Linked DNA regions of Lepisosteus oculatus. The protein of the gene in region 1 purifies or fractionates together with the protein of each later gene. This does not show direct contact. Links are inferred from orthologs where the notes say so. Each region holds a gene or a part of one and is shown on either strand. Other genes may lie near its edges.

Region 1 (7,926 bases):
GTGTGCCAGGCAGTGGAAACTGTGGGTCACCCCAGACACCGAGAAACAGGGAGCATTCAGGCTTAAAAGGGCAGCTTCCAACACGTAATCAAGAATTTGTTACAAAGCTCTCGCACTTTAACTCGGGGTTGGGGTGGGGGGGGGGGAGGTTTGTTCATAAATCTACACTGTTTGGAGAAAAACGTCTTATAAAACGATAGACGGATGACTGATTTATGAAAATGATTTTAAACAAAAGAAAAATGATTATAAGCCTCTTTAATTTGCACACATCTCAATTTACTCTTTTTGAAAATATTTACAAATGCAGATGTATCAAGAGAAAATGTGTTTTTTTTACAATACAGGAAAATATTAATTTGTAGTGACACTTCTGTATTCTGGTCATTCTGCATCTGAACTCAGGCATTGTTAAAAACCTGGTGCTTGAAATAATGCTTAAAGTCATTTAACATGACATTCACAGCTTATCATTTAATCACCTAAATAACCTGAATACACCTTTTTTTTACAGAACTCCCAACTACCACAAAATAAAGAAAAGGTGTTAACAGTCCAAGCAGGCAACACCTGAGAATTGCTTCATTTATTAAGCAAGAAAAAGCACAGGCTTGGCGTTTCATGAACATGACCCCGATGAATCTGATGTCCTTCTTGTTCACTCACCATCTCCTTCCAGGTCATCCGTCTCATCTGCCCAGCTGGTGGGCTTGGCCGTGGGGTAGCTAGGGGTGCTGCCACCACTGTCCTCTGCCAGGAAATCGGTCAGAGTTAAGGTCTTCCCCTTCTTGTTCTTCTTCTTACCTGAGGATAAACAAAAAAAAAATAATGGCTTTGTTGTAAAGGAAACATTCCTGCTGATATAATGCCATGATCTCCCCAAATTAAACTAAGATAAGGAATTAAGGTGTTTCACCAACAAATACATTTGAACCAGAAACATTTTTTCCACCTCAGTATAATCTGTACAAGAGTCCACAGTTCCTTAAACATTGCAAAGACTAGGCTGCTACACAAACAGGATCCAGTCTGGTTGCCAGGCATGGACTGAAAGATGCCTATGATATGAGCATGGAGACTGACCCCGAGGTGCTGTGACTCCAGACAAATCAGGAGTAGGCAACGTGAGTGTACAAAAGGTCATACTGCCACCCTCAGTGTTTAACCTGCTTCTGTGGCTTGTAAATCAAGACAAGTTCTGTATGATTGCCATGATATACTCTGCAGATGTTGATGAGAGGTACACAAAAATAAAGAGGCGGTTCACAGGTTACTGTGCCAGTATCATGATTTTTCAAAAAAGGATGCTCTGCTACTATAAACTTATTATACTAAGTCATCCCCACACCAAGAGAACATCAGTGCATAATCAAAAAAAGGGAACCTTACTTTCAAGAATATTAAAATAATTATCCCAAACTACAAAAAAATAACAAGATATGTTTATTCTGAAAAACAGCAGCAGAGATGAAATACCAACATAAGAACACAATGTGGCAAAATCAGTTTCCGAAAAGTTATTTTTGCTAGATCACAATTGTATTACAAATCTAGTTAAATCTCTGCTACAGATCATTTCCTTAATAAGATTCCATTCTTCAGAAATTAAAAGGGTAAACAGCAAGTTCTTAACTGTTAAAACCCTGCATATTTTGTTACCGTACTCTTAAGGGAAAAAACTCTATTTATACAACACATTTCATCCTGAAACACCCCAAACACATTACATATAGGAAGGGAATCACTTCATCCACCACTGAATAGCAGCACCACCTGGGTGATATGTAGCTGCTATTCTCCACCAGCTTACCTACTGCAGTCCTAAAACAGCAACATTTGTACTTTTATCCAAACTGTGGTCACCCACGTACTTCATAGATGAACTCACATGCTCCAGACCAGCAGAAGTAAGAACCCCAAAAAGGTTAAACAAATTAAATTACCAAGAGAAACAACAAGAACTGACAAAGTAATGATTATGGGTTAAAGAGCAGATGAGAAGTATAACCCAAACATCCACCTACACTAATGTATCACATAAGCACTACACTCCCCTGCCCTCAAGGATGCAGTTTCAGTCTGACTGGGAGTTCAGTCAGATATTCACAAAGATATTTATAAAACTTCCCAAGAGTTTCTGCAATACATCATAATCATTAAAACCACAATTAAACCCTTGTAACCCAGACAAATATGTACTTACATGTAGTGCCTGGATTTAAAAGAAAGACTATAAAGTCCTGTCTCCTTTCTTACAAAAAATGAAATGTTTGCAACATGTGCAGATTCCGCAAAGGGGTCTTTCACCGGTCTGACAAAATAATCAAATTAAAAACCGTTTGGATAGATGATGAGGAGAAACATCTGCCTTTTTTTTCTTCAGCATGAGAGGTTACAGAGGTGAGACAAGGAAAATATCTGGGAACAGCGTTGGCCTAGAAAACACAGGACCGGGACAGAGCTCTAAATGGGGGCTGTGCTATATGTATGAAGCAAGAGGCAAGATGACCCCAGCATGTGTGCTCAACACAGAGGCTCACAAAACACTGATGCTAATCCATTACCAGAGTTAAAGATTACCGATTGGTGATGACTTTTGCATCAATTTCTCTTTGTGTTCCTGGCCTTTCCTTACTCAGGATATTCCACTGGCTCGACAGCCTGAAAATTACTTTAATTCAAAACAATTTTGCCATTTCCTGGAATCAATAAATAATCCTTCAATTAAATTCTAAAATCACCATGTCTCATTCTTCAGCTCACACAAATGAGCATCTGCTTCAGTAGCAAAGCCCTTTAAGTTGAGTATTTTTGTACCACTAAGACGAGAATGAATTTCCATGAGGAAAAATGATTTTTGACAAGGACAAACTGGTGCACAGTTTTACAGCAGGGCACTTACTGGAACAAGTGAAGCTTACTGAGTGAAGTACGTTGCTCAAGACCACAACAGTATTGCTCCAGACAAAATTTGAACCTGTGATCTTCCAGTCTGCCATCCAGAGCCCTAACCGCTACTCCGATTAATTTAACGTTAAAAACAAGAAGAACAAAGTCTTTTTATTGGCAGGTCAACCGCAACTGGGTGCATTCAGACAGTTTACATCTGAAACAAGATAAAAAAGTCCACCCGTAAGTCAGACAACCATCTCAGACCAGTTTAGAAGCACAACATGTTCATTCAGGAAATCAAATGTTTTGGATGATTAATAAAAAATGTTCAGACTGTGGTCTAGCATGCATTGCACCATCCCCTGCGTTTGGTTACTTGACTTCACCCAGGAATGCAGTGAACAAGGGGATTAGAAAGAAAAAATGGAATACATAGATAGAATGCATCCCAGAAAAAAAAAGTGATAGAAATCTCATTCTCTCCTATACTCCAACAAAAAAAAAATCAAAGGTTTTTAAGACTTTGAAATGTTCTCTTTTTTGCCAGTGGGAATTTTGCTAGTGTTCAGTACTTTCACTAATCTAATCAACTAAGGAAGAACCATTACTATGATCATTAAAATGGCACAAAGACCCCCCCCCCCCCCCCCCCCCAACACAATCCAAAACACGGGGCTCAGGCAGCTGTAACCTCAGCATGCTTAGGTAATCCAGCAAGACCAACTCGGTGTCCTTTCAGATGCTGGCAGGAAAACCTTCCATTCTAACTGGTGCATACCCACATAAAAGCTCAAGACGAGCGGAGCTCAGCGAAGGAGTGTAAACGTTCAATAAGAGGCCAAAGAAAACCGTCTCTTCACTTCTTTGCCTTTTTTTTATCTCGGAATGACAGCAGGCGGCTTTGCCCCTGGTAGTAAACAAAGCAGGGTGTGATGCACACGCCCAGCCTTTGAGATGGCGTACAAAAGGACTGGTATAGACCGACGAGATCGACTTACCACCCAACGTAACTCGACAGCGTTTCAACCAGCAATTACATAAGGCATCTTCAGTGACAACTGCTGTTTCACTACGACTGCAGCTTCCGCCGGAGCTATAAACCCTGGGACCACGGCCATACACACGCCCTTTTGTAGAAGAAGTCGCGCTACAAGCGTGATCAAACGGAGGCGCTACTTCACCGTGGTGAAAACGGAGCGGTTTATTAAAATAGAACTACGCCTGTATCCCCTCCCCCCCTTCTCATCTGACAGTTTTTGAGCTCACAGAGCCTGTTCCTAAAACCAAGTTAATAACTGAATCGTCAGCGATCTGTGCGGATGGTTGGGAAAACAGCAGACGATCGGAAAAAGCACTTGGACTTCTGACAGCACGTCTGGGTCCAGACTGGAACGCGTGATGAGACACTCACGGGGGGTAGGGGGGACGGGGCTGTTCCACTATTCTGTATGAACATAAGCCTCAATGCTTCAGCACGACCAGCCGACTCGAATCGGGACATCGCGTACGGACAAACCAGACGGGTGCCAGAACTTCACACCACACACAAAAAAAAGCCCATCGCAAACAGGGCCCTGTTCCTCACAGCGCTCCGACACGCGTGACTCAAATCCAGCTAGGCCTTAGCCATTTATTCTAACTCATTTGCGATTGGCTTGCCAGATACAGGCTCCCCCCCTCCTCCCACTGCTAAGGCCGCGCCATGCCGATTTTTGCCTCTGAACGGCTCAGTGCGGGAAGGGAGATAGGAGAGAGCTCAAGGGATCATGTACGGGAGGGGGCATTAGCACACACGACCATGCTTGCCCGTCGGCCCCGCCAGCTCGCCCTGCACGCTGGCGATCTTGCCCCCACCCGAGATACACGTGGGGAGCTCCTCCATGCCCCACAACACACCTCCGCCCGTCACCGCGCCTGCGCCGCCGCGCAGACAGGGCGCCTGCTTCTACAGCGCCGGGCGGGGGGCACAATGTGGCAATCGGTCCGAGTGCATGCGCAGCAATCGGGCCGCAACAGCACTGCATGTGACAATCCCGGCCTAGCCTAAAATAAAGAAAAGAAAAGCCCAGGGGCCTCGGTGTGGCAGAGCCCCAGGGAGACCCCGCGCAATGTGGCGCAGATTCACGGATAATATCCGGCAAAGCGCCGCGAATCCGCCCCCCCCCCTCGCCTCCCCGGCTCCGTCCGCTAGCGAAGTCTGGACTTTCCAGCCCCGTGCCCGACTCCATTTCAACACACAAACAGCCTGCCCCGCGACGAGGATAACCTTCCTCCTTATTCTGTCGAGTCAGTCGCGTCCGACAGCCCTTCTCCCAACCCTATATCCCCGCACCGGCCCAGCTCCTCTCCCCACATAAACCTCACCTGACGACGCCATGATGGAGAGTGAGTCCGTGTCAGAGTCCCGGATGGAGGCGTCACGTGCTTATCGCCGGGAGCGCGCATTCGTGCCCGTGGCGTACGCGCGGAATAAAATGTCCTCTCCAGCAGTAGGCAGTCACCGCCCTAAGGAAGATATATTTATGTTTATTTTAATTCCAGTAAAAGAGAATTCATTCCCCTTTCTACTGAACGGACGTTAACGTTTGTTCGATGGTTTTAAATGGAAAAGGAGAGTATTTTTTTCTTTTCTGAACTTTTCAAGCAGAATTTGTATAAATCAGTATTTACTGTAAATAAATTCAGGAATTGAATCAGTCGGTAATTTTAACTCTATCACTAATGACAGCTTAAGGTGATACTGCGATGTCCAAGCACAGAAAGGAATCAGAAGGAGTCTATCATTGTGCCCCATTCTGTGACAGGCGATTTCAACATCCTGTGCAATATTGAAAGAGAATTCAAAGAATTTCCATTTTCGTTGTAGCTTCAAAACCTACCATGCAGGTGTCCTGTGCCATTCCACCTTGATATGTTACCTGAAATCGTGACATCTTATAACCGTGCCTATAATACTGTGTAATAATATACTGGTTAAGATTACAAGATCATGTTAGCAAAGGCAGATCTCACAAAACTCCACATGGCACATACATCTCACGTACTTCCTCAAAGGCATTGAAGTCGACCCAGAGGATGTCTTCACAGACAGTGAAACAAATTAGAGGATAATGCGGAAATTATGTTTAAGTGCGTTTAAAACCTAGAACATAGAAGAGAGGGCAATTCTTTAGCCAAAGGGTTGTGGGAGTCTGGAACAAGCTGCCAAGCCAAGCTATTGAAGCCCATACCCTACTGAGCCCACCTACATCATGCTATGGGAGAGAAGACAGAATGCAGTGCAAATTACCCAAGTATCCATCAGACATCGCAGCTGACCATGTAAGTACGTGCACATGCGCTGGCTGCTCCTCCTCATTGTGGAAAACACAAAATTACTTTCTGCCACTAGATGGCAGTAATGCACTACATACAGAACTACTATGCGGCGTTTCTTACATGAGGCACATACTGTATCAGGGTTCCATATCGTAATGAGATAAACCAGCTAGTAACAGGCTTAACTGGACCAATTTAACAGCCTTTTCCAGCTCTTCAGTTGCTGCTGCTTTAAAACCCTGCAGACACACTGACCCTGCAGGACCAGGACTGGACACCCTGCAGACACACTGACCCCCCAGGACCAGGACTAGACACCCTGCAGACACACTGACCCACCAGGAGCAGGACTGGACACCCTGCAGACACACTGACCCCCCAGGACCAGGACGACACCCTGCAGACACACTGACCCTGCAGGACCAGGACTGGACACCCTGCAGACACACTGACCCCCCAGGACCAGGACTGGACACCCTGCAGACACACTGACCCCCCAGGACCAGGACTGGACACCCTGCAGACACACTGACCCACCAGGAGGAGGATTGGACACCCTGCAGACACACTGACCCCCCCAGGAGCAGGACTGGACACCCTGCAGACACACTGACCCCCCAGGAGCAGGACTGGACACCCTGCAGACACACTGACCCCCCAGGACCAGGACTGGACACCCTGCAGACACACTGACCCTGCAGGACCAGGACTGAACACTCTGCAGACACACTGACCCACCAGGACCAGGACTGGACACCCTGCAGACACACTGACCCTGCAGGACCAGGACGACACCCTGCAGACACACTGACCCCCCAGGACCAGGACGACACCCTGCAGACACACTGACCCTGCAGGAGCAGGACTGGACACCCTGCAGACACACTGACCCCCCAGGACCAGGACTGGACACCCTGCAGACACACTGACCCCCCAGGACCAGCACTGTATGTTGCCTGGCATATATATCTGAATGCAAAATGAAAACACAGTGGTGTAAGGTTACATTAATATCCAAATGAACAAATAGTGAAAAAAACATTTTTGTAGAAAAACCATTGAGTAGGTTTGTTCTGTGGATTAGCAAAATATTCAATTTAAGTCATGGGATTCTTAAAATTGCCATGTTCACAGTATTTGGTATTTGAATTGAGTTCAAAAACAGCCATTTAATAAGGCAGAATTTTAAACAATACCAAACAATGACAGGTACATGCCCCATCTGATTAAAGATTAGAGATGCCTAGCTGCTATCAGCGGAATTGAAGCCCATCAAGGAAAAGTTGCCCCAGAGAATTAAATGGAATGGCTTTCAGCAACGAGCAGACTACTGTCGAAAATCCAGGAAACTGGCTCTGTGTGGGACAGACCACATCATGAATAGCAGAGGATCATGACTATGGCCCGCGAGCACTGCATTGAAGTGCATTTAAAAATGGGGTGTGGGAGTCTGGAACAAGCTACCCAGCCATGTCATTGAAGCCGATACCCTGACGACCTTCAAGAGACAGCCAAATAAGAACCATAGATCAATTAACTGCTAACTACTAAACAGGCTATCCATCCAATCATTTTCTAAATGCTTCATCCAATTTAGGGTTTCAGGGGAGCCAGAGCGTATCCAGACAAGCAATGCGAGCAAGGCAGTATACACCCTGGGCAAAACACCAGTCCCTCACAGGATAAACACACAGACATACTCACACCAGGGCCAAT
Region 2 (7,717 bases), on another chromosome or scaffold:
TGGCAGCCATGCAGCCCCGCATGCTGGTGACGTTCGACGAGGAGCTGCGCCCGTTGGCGGTTTCTGTGCGTGTTGGACAGGTGAGTCTGGAAAGGGACCTGCAGTATGTAACCTAGTCAAGGACAGAAGTCTCAGTAACCACTTAATAAACAACCTCTGTTTGTCCATTAAATCCAGTTGAAATTATTAGATAGATACTTTATTGATCCCGTGAGGGAAATTGCAGAAAATTTCCCTTGCAGAAAATTATTGTGTTTAACTGTTATAATCAAAGCTGCAGCCCCAACTTGTGCCACATTCTTTATTAATGCATTCATTCATGATGCATAAATTACCACTGTGTAACAATTATACAGGTAATAGCTCCCCTTTAGTGACAACACTGCTAATATTCAGTAGTTAAGCTGGTATGGATAGAAAAAGACATGGCTTCAAGTGTCTTAATAAAGATGGAATGGAATAGTGCTTCACACCTAATGTAGTTCTGAGAAGCTTGCAGTCCAGATAACTGAATGATTACACTAGCTGCCATCCTGCAAGAGCAGACAGGCTGGTGTTGGGGTGTTAGTTTCATGTGTTTTGTGTGTCTCCAGGCGGTGGATGTGGTGGGACAAGCAGGGAAGCCCAAGGCCATCACAGGCTTCCAGACCCACACCACACCGGTGCTGCTGGCCCATGGGGAGAGAGCCGAGCTGGCCACCGAGGAGTACTTGCCCGTTACGCCCATCCTGGAAGGCTTCGTCATCCTGCGCAAGAACCCCAACTATGACGCCTAGAACTCCCTCACCCCCTATGGGGGCTCTCACTGCCCCTGGACTTGTCTCACTCTCATTCTGTTGTATTCTGCCCCCTGGGCTAGGAGAGCCATCTCCTGAAGAAGGAGACCACAATGCTGCGAGAGGAAAACCAGCACCCACAGATAATGCGTTTTGGCAGATGTTTATCATGTTTTTTTTCCTTTTGTAATAAGCGCATGAAATGCCAGTCTGTTATAACCAGAATTATTTTTTTTGTTTTGTTGGTTTTGTTACAGTACTGTTAAAGGTTATGTAATAAATTTATTTCTGGTCCACTCTCTGGACTGTGAAAGTTTGTTTCGGTGTGTAATTGAAGACCATAATTGAGGGGCTGTAATGTCAACAGAAAAATTATTTAAAAAACCCTACAGAATTTTATGAATGCATTGTGGACTGTCATAAACAAGGTTTGCAGTGCACAGGCAATGTTTTGGACTTGCAATAAAGTGCTATGTATTTTTTAGCATGGGACAATTTGTCAGTAAATCCATGTATTAAATATTCTAATAAAATTTCTTGTTCTCTAATTGCTTTCAAGCAGAGGGTTAAAAACTTTCAGTGTCCATTCAGTTTCGTAAAGTTTCCCAAGTCTAAACTTAATTTGAATACTAATTTGTTTCTGCTGTCATTCTGCATTGAAAACCTGTAGGTGTACTTATATTGATATATGCTGCGCTTAGTGTTCTGAGGATTTTTCTGGTACATATGGTGTTAATTTACTATACTGGTTTTCTGACTTGTGAACATCCAGTTAACCAGGTGATCATTTTAATTATATTTTCCTGCTTCCTCTGTGCTTGTCACAGAAGTTTTTCAGTGGAGCTTTGAGTGAAAGTTAAAATTAGAACATTAATTTTGACTGCTAAATAGACTTATGTTATTTTTTTATATATTTAACATAAGAGAAAATTCCTTGAAGTTTCAGACTGGAATGTGGAAGAATGTAATGCTCTCGCATACAATAGCTGCTGGCATGTCTGTGATGTTGCACATATCTCTGGGTAGAACTGCTGTACAGCCGTGCTGAAGGTCTCAGTTCCTCTGCATCCTCTCCTGTGTACATTAGAGCAGTACTCCTGATCCTGGAGTGCCAGAGCCTTGACAATTTTATAGGTAACCCACACTCCTCAGTAGCTACATTATAACTAAATTGTGATTAGGTCAATGACTCACTTTCCTCACATAATTCTAGATTTTCTTGCTCTATTCCACTCCCCTAGCAACCCTCTCACTGTATCACTGAAAAGGGTGGTGGCACTGGTTTCGTGTGTGCTGACTTAATCCTGCCTTGTCCACTCTCTTCTAACACCTTCGAGTTTCATGCTGTTTATCACACTGGGTGGAGTAATGGTGAGGACTTCAAACTATAAAAGGATGTGGATTCAACACCCAGGTGGGACACAGGTGGGTATTGAGAAAGGTACTTCTCTCAAGTTGGTTTAGTGAAGCGCCCTGTTGTATTCATGGGTAGTTAGTAAATGATAGCTTGTTCTTAACCTGCCAATCAGCTGATGTTTGTGTTACCATTTCCTAGCTGGGGTTTCCTAAATGAGTTGAAAGGCTTCCTCTCATTTATAACTTGTAATCAATTGATGTATGTGTCCCAGTCCTGTTGTTGTTTCTCCTGTCTGTCTGACATGTCAGAATCATGACTCTGGTACCCCTGAGTGGAAAGCAGTGAGGGGGTAGAAGACTCTTAGCCTTTATGCATGATTTGAACCATTGTGTGCCAGTGACTGAGCCTATGTCTCTGTTCTGTGACTGAGGAGACAAACCTGTTGGCCTGCACAGAAGCTGCTGTTGGTAAAGAACATTGTCTGGCCTGCCAGTTTACAAAATCCTCTCTACAACCCCCAACTTTTAACAAATTACACTACACTGACACTTAAGAAACCTAAACACTTAAAGCTCTATCATTTTGCTCATTGCAAATAGTTGGAATAGTGCTGTAACTAAAAACTAAGTTTGTGTGTAACCATGTCTTCTGTTTGCTTTGTGAACCCAAAAGCATATTGGTGCTGTTTTCCGTAGCTTAGCATTAGGGTTAGTGCATTTTTATCTTAGGATCACCAGTCCATCGTACTCACAAACACTAGGACTGCTTAAAGATGCCAGTTAACATAGGCAGCATGTCTCTGGGCTGCGAGAGTAAACAGGATCACCTGGAGTAATCCAACAGGGTAACTAGGAGAAATGCAGACTTCACACGGAATCACCCCAAGCCAGAAGCAAACCCTGGAACCAGGAGCTGCAAGGCAGCAGTGCTAACCATCACACTACTACGACACACTCATTATGTGCTGTTATGGTAGTTTAGCATTCGGAAAATATAGGAGATGAAAATGAATCTTCTGAACCCAAAGATCAGTTGCTCTTTAGTCAGTAATATACTTTCATTTAATAAATTTTGAGGTTAGTTTTTGTTCAATTTAACTAAAAACGCACTGGTAAAAATTGGCTACATTGGTCAGCACAGACAAGATAACAGATGAAAGAAAACGTTTCAGCCGTGGAGCCTTCTTCTGGTGTCAACACCTGAAGAAGGCTCCATGGCTGAAACGTGGTTTCTTTCTTCTTTTTTTCAGCATGGAATAAACCTATCACTTATTCCTTTGCAGCCTACGCATGCTGACGCAGCTACCCACCCAAGATAACAGATGGAAAGAAGGGGATGCTGTGACTAGCAGTAGATAAGTCACCTCCAGCTATTTCTGCTGGCCCAAACACTTTAATCATATGTGTGAAAAGCATAAATTTGATGCTTTTTAAAAAGGCAGTGCATTGTTGTGCTCCACTGTCACCACACTGTCAACTGAAGGTCATTCCACTGTGTTACAAATTGTGAATGTGCTTATCACATTTCAAGGAAAAGCAATTCCTGGTGAGGAAAAGCACATTTTTGTGTTGCTTTTATTAAGAAATATAGAGGATATAGAAAGCCTGCACTCAGGTTTTGCTCTTTTGTGGTGTCAGATGTGACACGTGATCAACCAATGGTTTCAAGTAACCATAAGAACTGGGACACATTCACTTCGGGTAAATCTTGGTGTGAAGTGTAGGGTGTAAAATTCAGTATTGGATTGTATACTCTTCTGAGGCAATAACTGCATGGTGTCCACAAACCTCTGATCTCACCAAACTCGTTTGTTGAAATATTTTAGATACTTTGCTGTAGTAACTCAGAGTCAGTGTTCTGAGTTGCAAAATCAGTGCACAACTGGATTTCAACCTGGATCTTCAACCAAGACCTTGGTTGCGTTGGCTGTATGCTTTGGATCACTGTTGAACTGCATGGTATAGCACTGGCGAGTAAGTATGGCAGTATTTTCTTCTTTAAAATCAGATTAAATGTTTCTGTAAACTTCAGAATACATTCTACTGGTGCATTCATTAGTTGTATAATCAATTCTAGCAGCAGCTCTGCCCACCAGCTACTCTTCTATATTATATGCAGTATAGATGAGTCCTGAGGGTTATGACTCAGGGAAAGATGGAAGGAAAAGGGGATATCATGACTAATAGTGAACAAGCCAGCAGCAGCTATTTCTTCTGGTCACTACACGTTAAACCTCAGTTAACCTTCCTGATTTAAGTACCTTTCTGTGGAGAGACAAAATGAGGTTCCATTGAAAACATTCAGACACAGTCCGTGATTTAAAATAAGTTTCAGTATCAATAGTTACATTGACCCCTCAGACATTGAAGGCTGCCCACTCTGTTGCATTAAGAAAATCTATGTGTTTGCAACAGTTGCTACACAGCCCCACCCACACTTGCAAAAAAGACCCAGCAAGTCTAGATCCTATTATGACCTTTTCTGTGAGGTCACATTCAACATTGAACCTGCCCAAATCTAGCAAGCTTACTTGCACATGGTCAGGTAATGCCACGTATCGTTCTTGAGCAAGTGACAAAAAACAACTTTGTTTATTCTCTAAAAAGCATTTTTCTTATTGGAACGATTGGCAGTCTCAGGTCACATGACGAGGGTGAAGAATTCCTGCCGCCCTAGTCACATGACAAGAGTGTGAGGATTCCCATTGTAATTAACCCGGAAGTCTCTCACGGTTTCCGTGAGGCTCCGTCCGGCTTTGCGGACTCAAGGAGAGAAAGGTAATGATATGGCTCTTCACTTCACTCTTTGCTAAATCTGTATCGTGTGGACACATTGCCGTCAATCCGTGTGCATCTGCGCTTTAAACATGGAGCTCCGGCACAGAAGCTCTCATTCGGGACACATGCTCACCCAATAAGATATATTTAAAGCAGTATTGATTTATTTGATTTCTCCTTTTTTTGTTTTTCTCGTATGCTTCCAGGGGATTTAAAACACACTTCTCGCCTAGATCAGCAGCCCCCCTTTCCCCCAAAAAAAGGTTAGGACACCCTCTTTCCCTTGGAACTGGAGCCGAAGAAGCGATTTATAGGTTTGGGGGAAAAAGTGAATAGAAACGGACGAAGTACGGAGACAGAAAAGATCTTTTCTCTGTGAGCCCTTGTTCTGTCCCCTCTCTGCATGTCCTTTATTCACTTTAGGTAAGCAGTCTCTGGGTTTTATTTTCTTCTTTTTTTCCTGGGAATAGCTGTTTAAATAGTGGTTTCATTCCGGCAGTAAAAACGTTAAGTGTCTGTTTGGGGGGCTCGGTTGTTTTATATATTTCGGACTTGTTTTGCTGCTGACGGGTGGGTGAATCGAGTTGCCTTCTGTGTGCATTTTGGACAGAACTGGCATTTCTGGACCGTGTTTTCGCGTAAGCTGTTTGTCGGGAGTTGGCAAACCCGATCTCTTTAAAATTGACTTCTGCAGAAACGTTTTCACAACCGGATTGGCCGTTATGTAGACGCATTTTTTCCCAGTATCCCGGAGACAGTGTAGTTAAAATGTAGCTGGAAGAGCCCGTATTACTTTTTCGCTTGTGAAGCAAGAATATCATTGGGTTGCAGTGCCACAATACTGGAGCCCGACTCGGGGTAGGCCCCAAGCTTTTTAATTATTTATAATGAAAATAAATGGAAATGTCGGGATTTATACTCCGTAAAGCTTGGGGTTTATAATGATGCCTCGCCGGCCTGTGTCACGGAATCTCTTCTTGGTGATTATTTGTTAGATTCAAATCGCTGCGTGTTTTTAAACAAGATCACTGTCTTCTTGGACTGCGTGCATTCACGCAGATGGGGTTGCTACGCTAGGCCCCCTCGATGGGAGCCCAGGCCCTTCATAGTTCGGTGAAGCTCGGCTGCTTCTTGTAAAATATGGTGGGAAGGGGAGGCAAACCACTGAAGCAGAGGGATTGAGATATAATCTTTGAGTAGTTTGGAGTCGGACCTTATTGTTAAGTTTTGCGCCGGGAGTGAAAAGTCGATTTGCCCCTGTTGAGCGCTGATTGGGAGGACCGACCTACCATATGCTCGGCTGAGAGAGACAGCGTGACTTTAGAGAACCGGCTTCCTCCTACTGCTTGGACACGTACTTTAAACGGGTAGATGAGTCAGTGTTTTCGAATTTTTTTAAGGGATCGGTGTTTTTTTTAAAGGGTGGGTATAAGTTTTAAAAATGCTGCGTTCTCTCTATCGGCCAGTGGGGAAACTGCCTTTCTTGACTCTTAAAAGGCATTGCTTGTCACTTGAGGTCGAGACATTTTTTGTCCTCTTCTAAAAATAAAATGCTGTGGGAGGATAAGCGAGTTTAATTGGGTTTGTTGTGTTTACTGTTTACAGTTAATGTTCAGGACGCTAAATTGGACTTCAAACTCATAAATAGGTACATCTGGTTGGAAGTTCGAGGCCTTCACAGCTCCTCCAGTCTCCTCGCTTCTGGCGATTTTTTAAAATGTGTCTGTACGTTTTTCAGAAGTCGAAATTAAGTTTTGCCGGTTTCCATGTTATACTAGGTAAAAACGTGTTTTATTTATTTCGTAGACGATTTTTTCCAAAGGGTGGCCTTGATCGCAATGTGCATTGACATTTCTGATGGTGGGAACTTATTTTTTTCATTGTTTAATGTACTTTAGGGCTTGGTTGAACCGGTTTTTTCGTTCGGTTGACGTTACAGGGTGCACGACCGGGGGTCTGCGTTATCGTGCGTACGCTGCACTGTTTACAGTCGTTTTGAATGACACTCGGTTTGAGAAAAACGGGAACGTGTTAGGACGATACATCTGCTCGGGTATGTGTGTTTATCCTTATTATTAATTGTAGTAGTATTAGGGGGCGAAAAGACGGACACGGCTGAGTTGTCATTAAAGTTGTGGCGCTTTGCTTTCCCCTTCTCTGTGAAATAGTGACACGTACCGCGTATGGAGAGACTTATATACGTCTTTCTAAATGGCATTACGATATCGATACGGCTCACAACCACCCTTATCCCCCGAGTTCGAGCCTTGTTTGTTTTTGTGGAGTTGGTTTCGAGAGTGAGACGGGGGAGTTATTTTCTGAAGCGGGCCCTTTTTTCTGAAAGTCGAGTTTTCCATCATGGCTGGCAGAGATGGGGGGGATGACACGTTGAGTGTGCCGAGAGGGAGGCCGGGCACTGCGGGGACCAATCCGGAACTTTTAGACCTCTCATTTTAGGATTTGGACACGATTGCTTAACGGACTCACCTTTACTGACCCTGTTGTTGGACAAAACCGTTTAGGCCTCTGTTATTTTGCAATCGTTTTGCAATCCAAGAGGTAGGTTAGTTGTTTCATTACCGTAAATTCACCGAATTAAGCGAAGCTAAATCGCATTTGGCGTATGAAGAGAAGTTTATCAAGGCTGCGGATCCTTACACAGTTTGGGTAGCAGATATAGACATTTCCCGGGGTGTATTTTTGGGGAGTGAAAACGACACGTTGTAACACTGCCGTCCTGGTGAGAGAGAGAGCGGCGTTCAAGGCCTACATAGTAAGGTCGTGAAAAACTCGCGTATTTCAACTTA
Region 3 (7,357 bases), on another chromosome or scaffold:
AACACGTCAAAGGATTCTAAGAATAGTCCAGAAAAACACTGTAACAGAAATAAGGCAAGCTGGAGGTAATACAGGTGTGACTTCTAAAACGCTACTGACAGAGGAAGCTGAAGTATAGCATTCTATCTGCTGATTTGTTTTTCTCAGATAGCAGGATGTTGTTGGCCAGATGATATATACCCAGGAAAGGCAACACAATCGATGATACATTACTTAAACTGTATATTATTTTTATCCACTAAACTAGTGCATCTGCTTTAGACCTGTGGTCAGTTGTGTCCTTCTTTCGCCTGCTGGGATCTCCATGTGGGCCAAACGTCACACGAAAGGCGACCTCCCCCCACTGCAGGGCTGTGGGTGTCCTGGGCCAGGGGTGCTCTTCACTGACCCAGAGGTTTCGCCACACTAGAGCGAGGGGGGGAATCTTCACCTGCAGATGCTAATGGACTGGCGTCACGGGAGAGGGCCGGACGCTGACCGCGATCCAGGCCTCGCGAGCCCAGCCAGGGCACGAGGAGTCCTGCCAGAGAGGCAGTGGGAGAGGTGCCGACCCCCGGCTTGTCTTGTCTTGCTTCGAGCCAGAACAGGCTCCCTCTCTGCCCGTCCAGCTGTAGACTCAAACTGCGCCCAGCTACAGCACGCGGACTGGTGCCGCAGGGCTGCTGGGGTTTCCCTCACTCTGCGCAGCGACGATTCTGCACTGGGTGGCCAGGAAGCTTCATTCCCCGGCTTGGCGAGTTTTGAGGGTCACTGGGTGTCCTCTGAGAAACGTATGGGGCTCCCCAGTGACTCCTCCCGTACAGGTGCGAGCCCCAGCTTAGGCTGAGCTCCCTGATCCCGGGTTCGAGCCTGGGTCACATCACTAATGCACTGTAACAGGGATTCCCCAAACGGTGCTGTCCATCAGGGACTAGTCAAGCAGAGCTCTCTCAGCTCCTAGTAACATAGCGGGGCCTGTCCTGACGCTTGTCCTCCTGTAGGGGGCGAAGAAGCCCAAGACATGTGGTAGGAGCCTGTCTGCTCTGCCCAATCTGCTGCTGTCAGCCGAGACTTGAAATCTTCCAAATGGCAATTCCGAATTGCGTGGATACATAACAAAAACACAAACAGAAAAACCTCATCATTGCTGTGGCCTGAGGACATAAGTGGGAGAGCGTGCTCAGGAGCAGACGGCGCTACGGCGGACCTGCGCATCGGCTGCTGGAGAGCCAGTCAGGGATGGCCTGGACCAGGGTCAGGCTGGTGAGCTCCTGTCGGCGTGCAAACAAGACAAGAGCACAACCGCCTGGGCTCCCTGTGCAAATGAACACATTCCTTTTTTTTTTCCAGACCAGAAAGACTCAAACTTCCCAAAGCAGACAACCCTGAGCAAAACTGATCCTCGTCCCAGGATAAATGAAACATTAATAAACAAGTTGGTGCACCTCTGGCAGGAATTGCAGAGCAGGACTGAAGCCCACAGTTGGGGGGGGGGGAGGTCAGGGTTGCGGGTTCGAATCCGTGGTGAGGCACAGCTGTTGTACCATGAGTGAGATATGCCATTCAGATCGCTCCACTAAAACACCCAGTGCTAGGAACAGGTCCCCCGGCAGATACTCTGAGAAATTTTTCTCAAAAGGCTTTGTCAAATAAAACCATAACAAACTCACATCACTCCCTTCCCAGAGTGGAGGTGATGCTCCACTTCCATCATCTAAAAGCTCTCCCATTTAGACATACTTGTCATTACAGGCCATCCTGATATACCTGGATATGCACAACAAATGTTTTATCAACCAATTCTTGGGGCAAATGAGGAAAAACTATCTTTTGAATTGTCATCTTTTGAATAATGAAAGCAGATACTTTGAACTAGTGCACGCCACGCATGGCCCTGCTCCTAACCGGGTCAAACGATTGCAGCTGCACTCTTTCAGGTCCACGTCCGGAAAGGTCGTGGAAAAACAGGTCCAGAGCCCACGGGCAGGCGGGTCTCTGCAGAGTGGCGAGACGGCACCAGGCCGGGCACCTGCGAAACCGATCCCCGACAGTCGCTAGGAAACACGCATCATGCCGGCCGATCCGGGCAACCGGTCCAAAAACCAGAAGGCACTTTATCCTAAAATTGTTCATCAAGCCCCAGCCCGACAGGACGAGCTAAACCCGCGTTGGAAAATCCAGTAATGCAGAGCGGACCACGGCTCGTACAGGTCTGACATCTCGACAGAGGGGGATGTCAACAGGCGCTCGCTCGACACGCCTGGTGCTGCCTCTGTGATTGAACAGCGCTTGAAGACGGGGGTTGAGTCACGGCCAGGAAGAGCCCGGCCCGAAGGCTTGCTGAGAGTGAACGGATCCGACTCTCCGCGTCGTTTCCCTCTCTCGGAGTTGACGTCAGAGGGAGAGAAAACGAAACCAGCTCAGACCTGCAGCTTCACCGCTCACCCACAAGCAAGACAAACTTATCGGGGACGCCCTGAACTTTTCCATTTTCCCACCCGAGACATCTCCATGTCCCGGCTCCCCTGGAGGGGGCTGTGCGGGACTTTAAGCTGAACGATTGAAATGACACCCCCGCTGCCGAAAGCCAATATGAACGCAGTTACACTAGCAAGCCCCTCCAATGAAAAAGTAGCGAAAGCAGCTCGGCGATTGCTGTGAATTCATCACGTACAAACCCCTGCACCTACACGGACCGAGTCAACGCAGGGGATCGCTGTGGCGGACCGATCTTCAGTCAGGTGAAGTGGGGGGACAGGGGAAAATGAGTTAATTTACACCCTGTCAGATCACAGCCTCGGGTTTCCTCTCCGGCGATCGCCTTACCAGCTGTCCCCGGCGCGCAGCCTGTGACCCTGGATAATATCTTCTATCTCTCCGCGCTGGGTCTCCAATCCCGGCGGCTCTGCCGACGAAGACGCGGTAACAGCAGCAGCAGCCATGATAGATCATCAATGTCTGTGTCTGTGAGGGTTCGCGAACTGCCCGAAAAACCACGGAACAGCAGATCGATGGGTCCGACTACCGCCGGAAGCAGGAAGCCATCCGGGCTGAGAAACCACTTCCGGGGGTGTCACTGTGAAATCAGTCCCCCGCTGCCGCCGCACACGCTTCGGCCGAGAGCACGTTTCACCTGCCTTTTCACTAACATTCCGATTAGTTATTAATAATCCGAAGTCGCATTTTAAGAGGGTGTAGGTTTTAATTGAAGAACACAATAATAAACACTGGTATTTGTATGATTTATTTACACCACTAAAAGTACTTTTTACAGTTACAGAGTGAACACTTGAAATAACTTTCCAATAGGATGAACAAACTACATTTCACTGAGTGTGTTATCCTCCGAGTTACAGCAGTGGGTGATGTCTTCGATAAGCACATCTTTATCGTTCTCATAATCACATGTTCCACTTTCGCTCAGCAGGTGGCGCCCTACAAACACACAACGCTGTACTGTTGTAGAGGTTTTGTGTTTGAACTACAACAGAGGAAGGACCTTCAAATATAATAAATAACACCTCCATTCTATTATTATTATTATTATTATTATTATTATTATTATTATTATTAACCAAATTCTTATACATAATACAGATGTAGGTGTAGTCAGTAAATAGTGAAATTCATTTATGAAAGAAAAATAAGTAGACTAGAAAACACTGTAGAGGCAGCAAAGGAGTGTTACAGTATGTGTTGGTACCAAAGTCATGAATAAAAATAAAGGCAAGACAGCCTGAGCTTGAAGAAGACACCTGTGAAAACAATTCAGGTATTTCTGCTCCCGCATCTTCTTCCTCCTGCAGTCAGTGTGGGAAAGCCTTAAGAAAGGCAAATAAAAAAATTAAAAAAACAATTTGAATCCAGGGGTGTTGTGTTAAATTTGTGCAATGCACTAGTAAGACGGTATCTGTGTACAATTCTGTTCACTGTCACACAAACATCCTGGCTGTGGAATCAGTCCTAACTCGGTCCCAGCCCAAATGACTGGTGTGTTCCTGGGCTCTGAAGGAACATCCTGCACCGAACAATGAAACACCCCCCCAAAGACACAAGAGGAAACTACAGGGAAGTGCATTCAGGGCTGAGAACAGGAGGCACTTATTTACATCAAGAGTGGAGGGAGCCTGGAGCAAGAATCCAGCAAGACAGATATCCAGGTGTATTTCAAGAAGCTGGATGTCATAAGACTTATTAGCTACTAGCAACCAAAAACAAGCTAGGCTTGCTGACTTGCATCCTGTTTTTTGCAATCTTGCCACTATTCCCCTATAATTCTGATTATACCACAACAGATGAAAACAGCGACCACTGTAGTGTACAGGGAAGAAAGCCAAGATCATCAACATTGTGGAATTTAGCCCAGACACTGGGGTTAACACCCTTACTCCATGGAACAGTTCTATAGGACCTTCAGTGTTCAGACTTTCAGGAACTCCTACAGCTCAGTTTCCCAGTCACCCTACTGGAGTATTAGTCCAACTACTGGGCCACCAGCACCACTCACAGCAGCAAGCTGGTTTTCCCTGGAGGTCTCTCCCTCCCCTTTCCAGTGCTGACCAGACCCAGCCCTGCTGAGCTTCTGAGACCTGATTAAATCAAGCTACAAGGTGGTAACAGTGCAGCTTGGATTTAACTTTTCTTCTGCTCAGGTTTTTGCTTATTTAGTTTGATCATTTCATTCGACATTTTAACCCCCCGTGACGAACTGTTCCAGATTGCCATTGATCGAGATTGGTCACATCTACAGTCATGTTTCCTTTTTCGTTGTGTGTTCTTTTATTCCCCCCTGAACCCCACTGCCCTAAACCCCAAAACATCCCCTCAGCCTGGTGTACAGTTGTCAGGGGATGTGTGGATCTGAGACAGTGCCTTCGGTCTGCCAGTGGGGGGCAGTACAGGGACAGCCAAGGCTAGGACATAAATGGATGTGACAGGCTGTCAGCGTTGTAAACAGGCTTCAGCCTGGCACTGCATCTAATCGTTTTAGATTGAAGACTGGTGTCCCATTATTTGCCCCTCTCTCGGCCCTCCTGAAGGCTGACACTGGCTTTTCCTTTCACCTGACAGTCGACTCGGAGTCATTTCACACCCAATTTGCCTCGGTGGCCATGACAGAGCCGTGCTGCGTGGGGGACATGATGGCTTTCTCACCTGCCCGCCTACTTTCTAGGCTAAACCGTATATTCAAAGCTTTCAAACCTGCATTTCGTGGTCTTAAACCGTATTGATATGAGATTATGCTGATGGGGACATATTTAGCTACACAATGAAAAATGCATCAGAATCTACAGAATGCAATTCGTCACCACGTTGCATAAAAATACTTGTGCTGTGCAAACAGAATTTGCTATTAAACATGAGATCCAAAGTTTTTTAAGGTCGTTTAAGATATAATTATGAGCACCACTCGCGCTCTGGGGTGTAGCGCGCAGAACGCGTCCTAGAGTTTGTTCCACGCAGGGGAAGAAGGCAGAGACGCGTTTGAATAAACTCTCCATCTTAATGCAGCCTGATTCATGAGGCTGTTACGCCGTGTTGCACCGCAACCGGATCTTAATCGAGTTCGGCGGGCCCCTCCAGAGTACAGCCTTTCATCCCGGACCGCGGCTCGGCAGTTCTAAAGGATCCGAGGGAAAGTTCGGTTCCAAAAGCAGGCTCGTCTCGGGGAATGGCCAGCAGCAGAGACCGGTGTGGTGGAAATCAGTGCGTTTGCAGTAGTGAACAGATTTCAGTAGAAAAGAATCCCATGTTTATTACATTATCTGTAAAGAGCGGAGTGTCCCGAAAAGCGCTATAAAAGTGTGAGCAATTATTATTATTATTATTATTATTATTATTATTATTATTATTATTATCAGTCTTACGAATGATGGCCTACAGCCGGCTGGTGGTTCCTCTCCTGGGCTCCAGTGCACAATTAAGTGCACTGGTGGCTCTGTGGGCAAGGATCTGCGCCTGTGGCTGGAAGGTTGTCAGTTCAAATCCTGCGGCCAGCAGAGGAATCCTATTCCGTTGGGCCCCTGAGCAAGGCCCTTCACCCCAGCTGCTCCAGGGGTGCCGTATAAATGACTGACCCTGCGTGCTGACTTCAAGCTTCTCTCCCTGTCTGTGTGTCTCATGGAGAGCAAGCTGGGGTATGCAAAAAAGACAAATTCCTACTGCAAGAAATTGTATATGGCCAATAAAGTGATCTTAATCTACAGTGTGTCAGGTCCAGGCCTCCTTGAAAGCAGGGCATTCTGGGGCTGAGCTCAAAAGAAGAGCCCGATTTTCTGCTTGGTGTTTCATTGGTGTTACCTCGCAGCTTGGTTTAGCGTAGAACGTGGCATTTTTATAAATGCATCATTACAGCATTATTATTTAATTCTACTGCAGCTTTAGAGTGCGTTTATAAGAGAGAAATCAGCATCTTTGAGAATCATATATACATATATTCGTTCAATAAACACATTTCATTTTCTTGTTTGAAATAATTAAAACGGAATAAAAAAAAAACAGAGAGCTGGAGTCCGACACAGACAGTTTAATCATCCCGTTAATCCCACAGCTCAGTCCCTCTCCTGTAGGAGTCCGCAGGACAGTGGCTGAGCACCAGTGGAGCTCCTGCCGTATTTGAAAGCAGTTTTGCGAAACCTTACAGTGCACTGTGCTCGCTTACGACGACGCAGCCGCTGAAAAGCGATCGGCGCTTCTCCCTTTTCCTTCCTGATGCTGAAGGAGGCGCCGAACAGCGGCAGGGGAGCGGTCCTAGACGCGCACAGGCTGGAACGCGAACACGCAGTTCTGCAGGCAGCCCAGGGCTCAGCGCAGCACAGCGCCTTACACCCCCAAACACTTAACCAGCAGGACCGCAACCGTACACGATCGTGATATCAAAGAAACGGGCGGTTCAGAGTGGTACAGTTTTAATAGGAAACCAGACGACGCGTTTCTACTGGGAATGCAGAGTTGGTCAAGGGGGTCGTGGGGTGCCCTGGTGGTACAAGACCCCTGTGCTGCAGGGTTCTAAACTCTTAAAACCCCTACCTGGACAGCGAGGTTCCGTTGTCCAGTCTGGCCAAACCCTGAGCTCAATTACAGGGCTACGAACGCGAGACGGGAGGAGCGCAGGGCTGTCCAGCTCTGGGGTTGATCTCACCTGAGGGGAGAAACCTCTTCTGTGCAGGGTACAGCCCCAGCTGGCCAACCAGAACCAATTCCACTGTCCCCGAGTTTGACTCTCAGTCCACTGACATGTCTCAACTTAACCGTGAAGCTGAAGTCACCGGGCCTTGGGTCTGTTTTAATGTCCTTATCCCGCAGGAGCTTGACGAGGAGAAAACGTGTTTGCAACATCATACATCTGTTATCTTTATTGTTCTTTTATAAAAACATG

The links. The genes of interacting proteins can lie anywhere in the genome.
Region 2: the proteins of eif4ba (region 1) and eif4g1a fractionate together in Homo sapiens (co-fractionation; 4 studies listed by BioGRID, with this or other methods). This does not show direct contact. The link is inferred for Lepisosteus oculatus from reciprocal best matches to the Homo sapiens genes EIF4B and EIF4G1.
Region 3: the proteins of eif4ba (region 1) and usp11 purify together in Homo sapiens (affinity purification with western blotting; 3 studies listed by BioGRID, with this or other methods). This does not show direct contact. The link is inferred for Lepisosteus oculatus from reciprocal best matches to the Homo sapiens genes EIF4B and USP11.

The regions. Positions count from the first base shown.
Region 1 is NC_090696.1:17,497,174-17,505,099, reverse strand, and holds the start of eif4ba (eukaryotic translation initiation factor 4Ba), read right to left. Parts: upstream 3,015-7,926; 5' UTR 3,000-3,014; coding exon 2,903-2,999; intron 805-2,902; coding exon 667-804; intron 20-666; coding exon 1-19. UniProt on the Homo sapiens protein: Required for the binding of mRNA to ribosomes. Functions in close association with EIF4-F and EIF4-A. Binds near the 5'-terminal cap of mRNA in presence of EIF-4F and ATP.
Region 2 is NC_090708.1:18,069,629-18,077,345, forward strand, and holds the start of eif4g1a (eukaryotic translation initiation factor 4 gamma 1a), read left to right. Parts: upstream 1-4,705; 5' UTR 4,706-4,910; intron 4,911-4,916; exon of another isoform or gene 4,917-5,333; intron 5,334-7,449; exon of another isoform or gene 7,450-7,469; intron 7,470-7,717. Other genes in the region: psmd2 (26S proteasome non-ATPase regulatory subunit 2), read left to right, coding at 1-80, 594-776.
Region 3 is NC_090697.1:76,579,265-76,586,621, forward strand, and holds the start of usp11 (ubiquitin carboxyl-terminal hydrolase 11), read right to left. Parts: upstream 3,013-7,357; 5' UTR 2,922-3,012; coding exon 2,806-2,921; intron 1-2,805.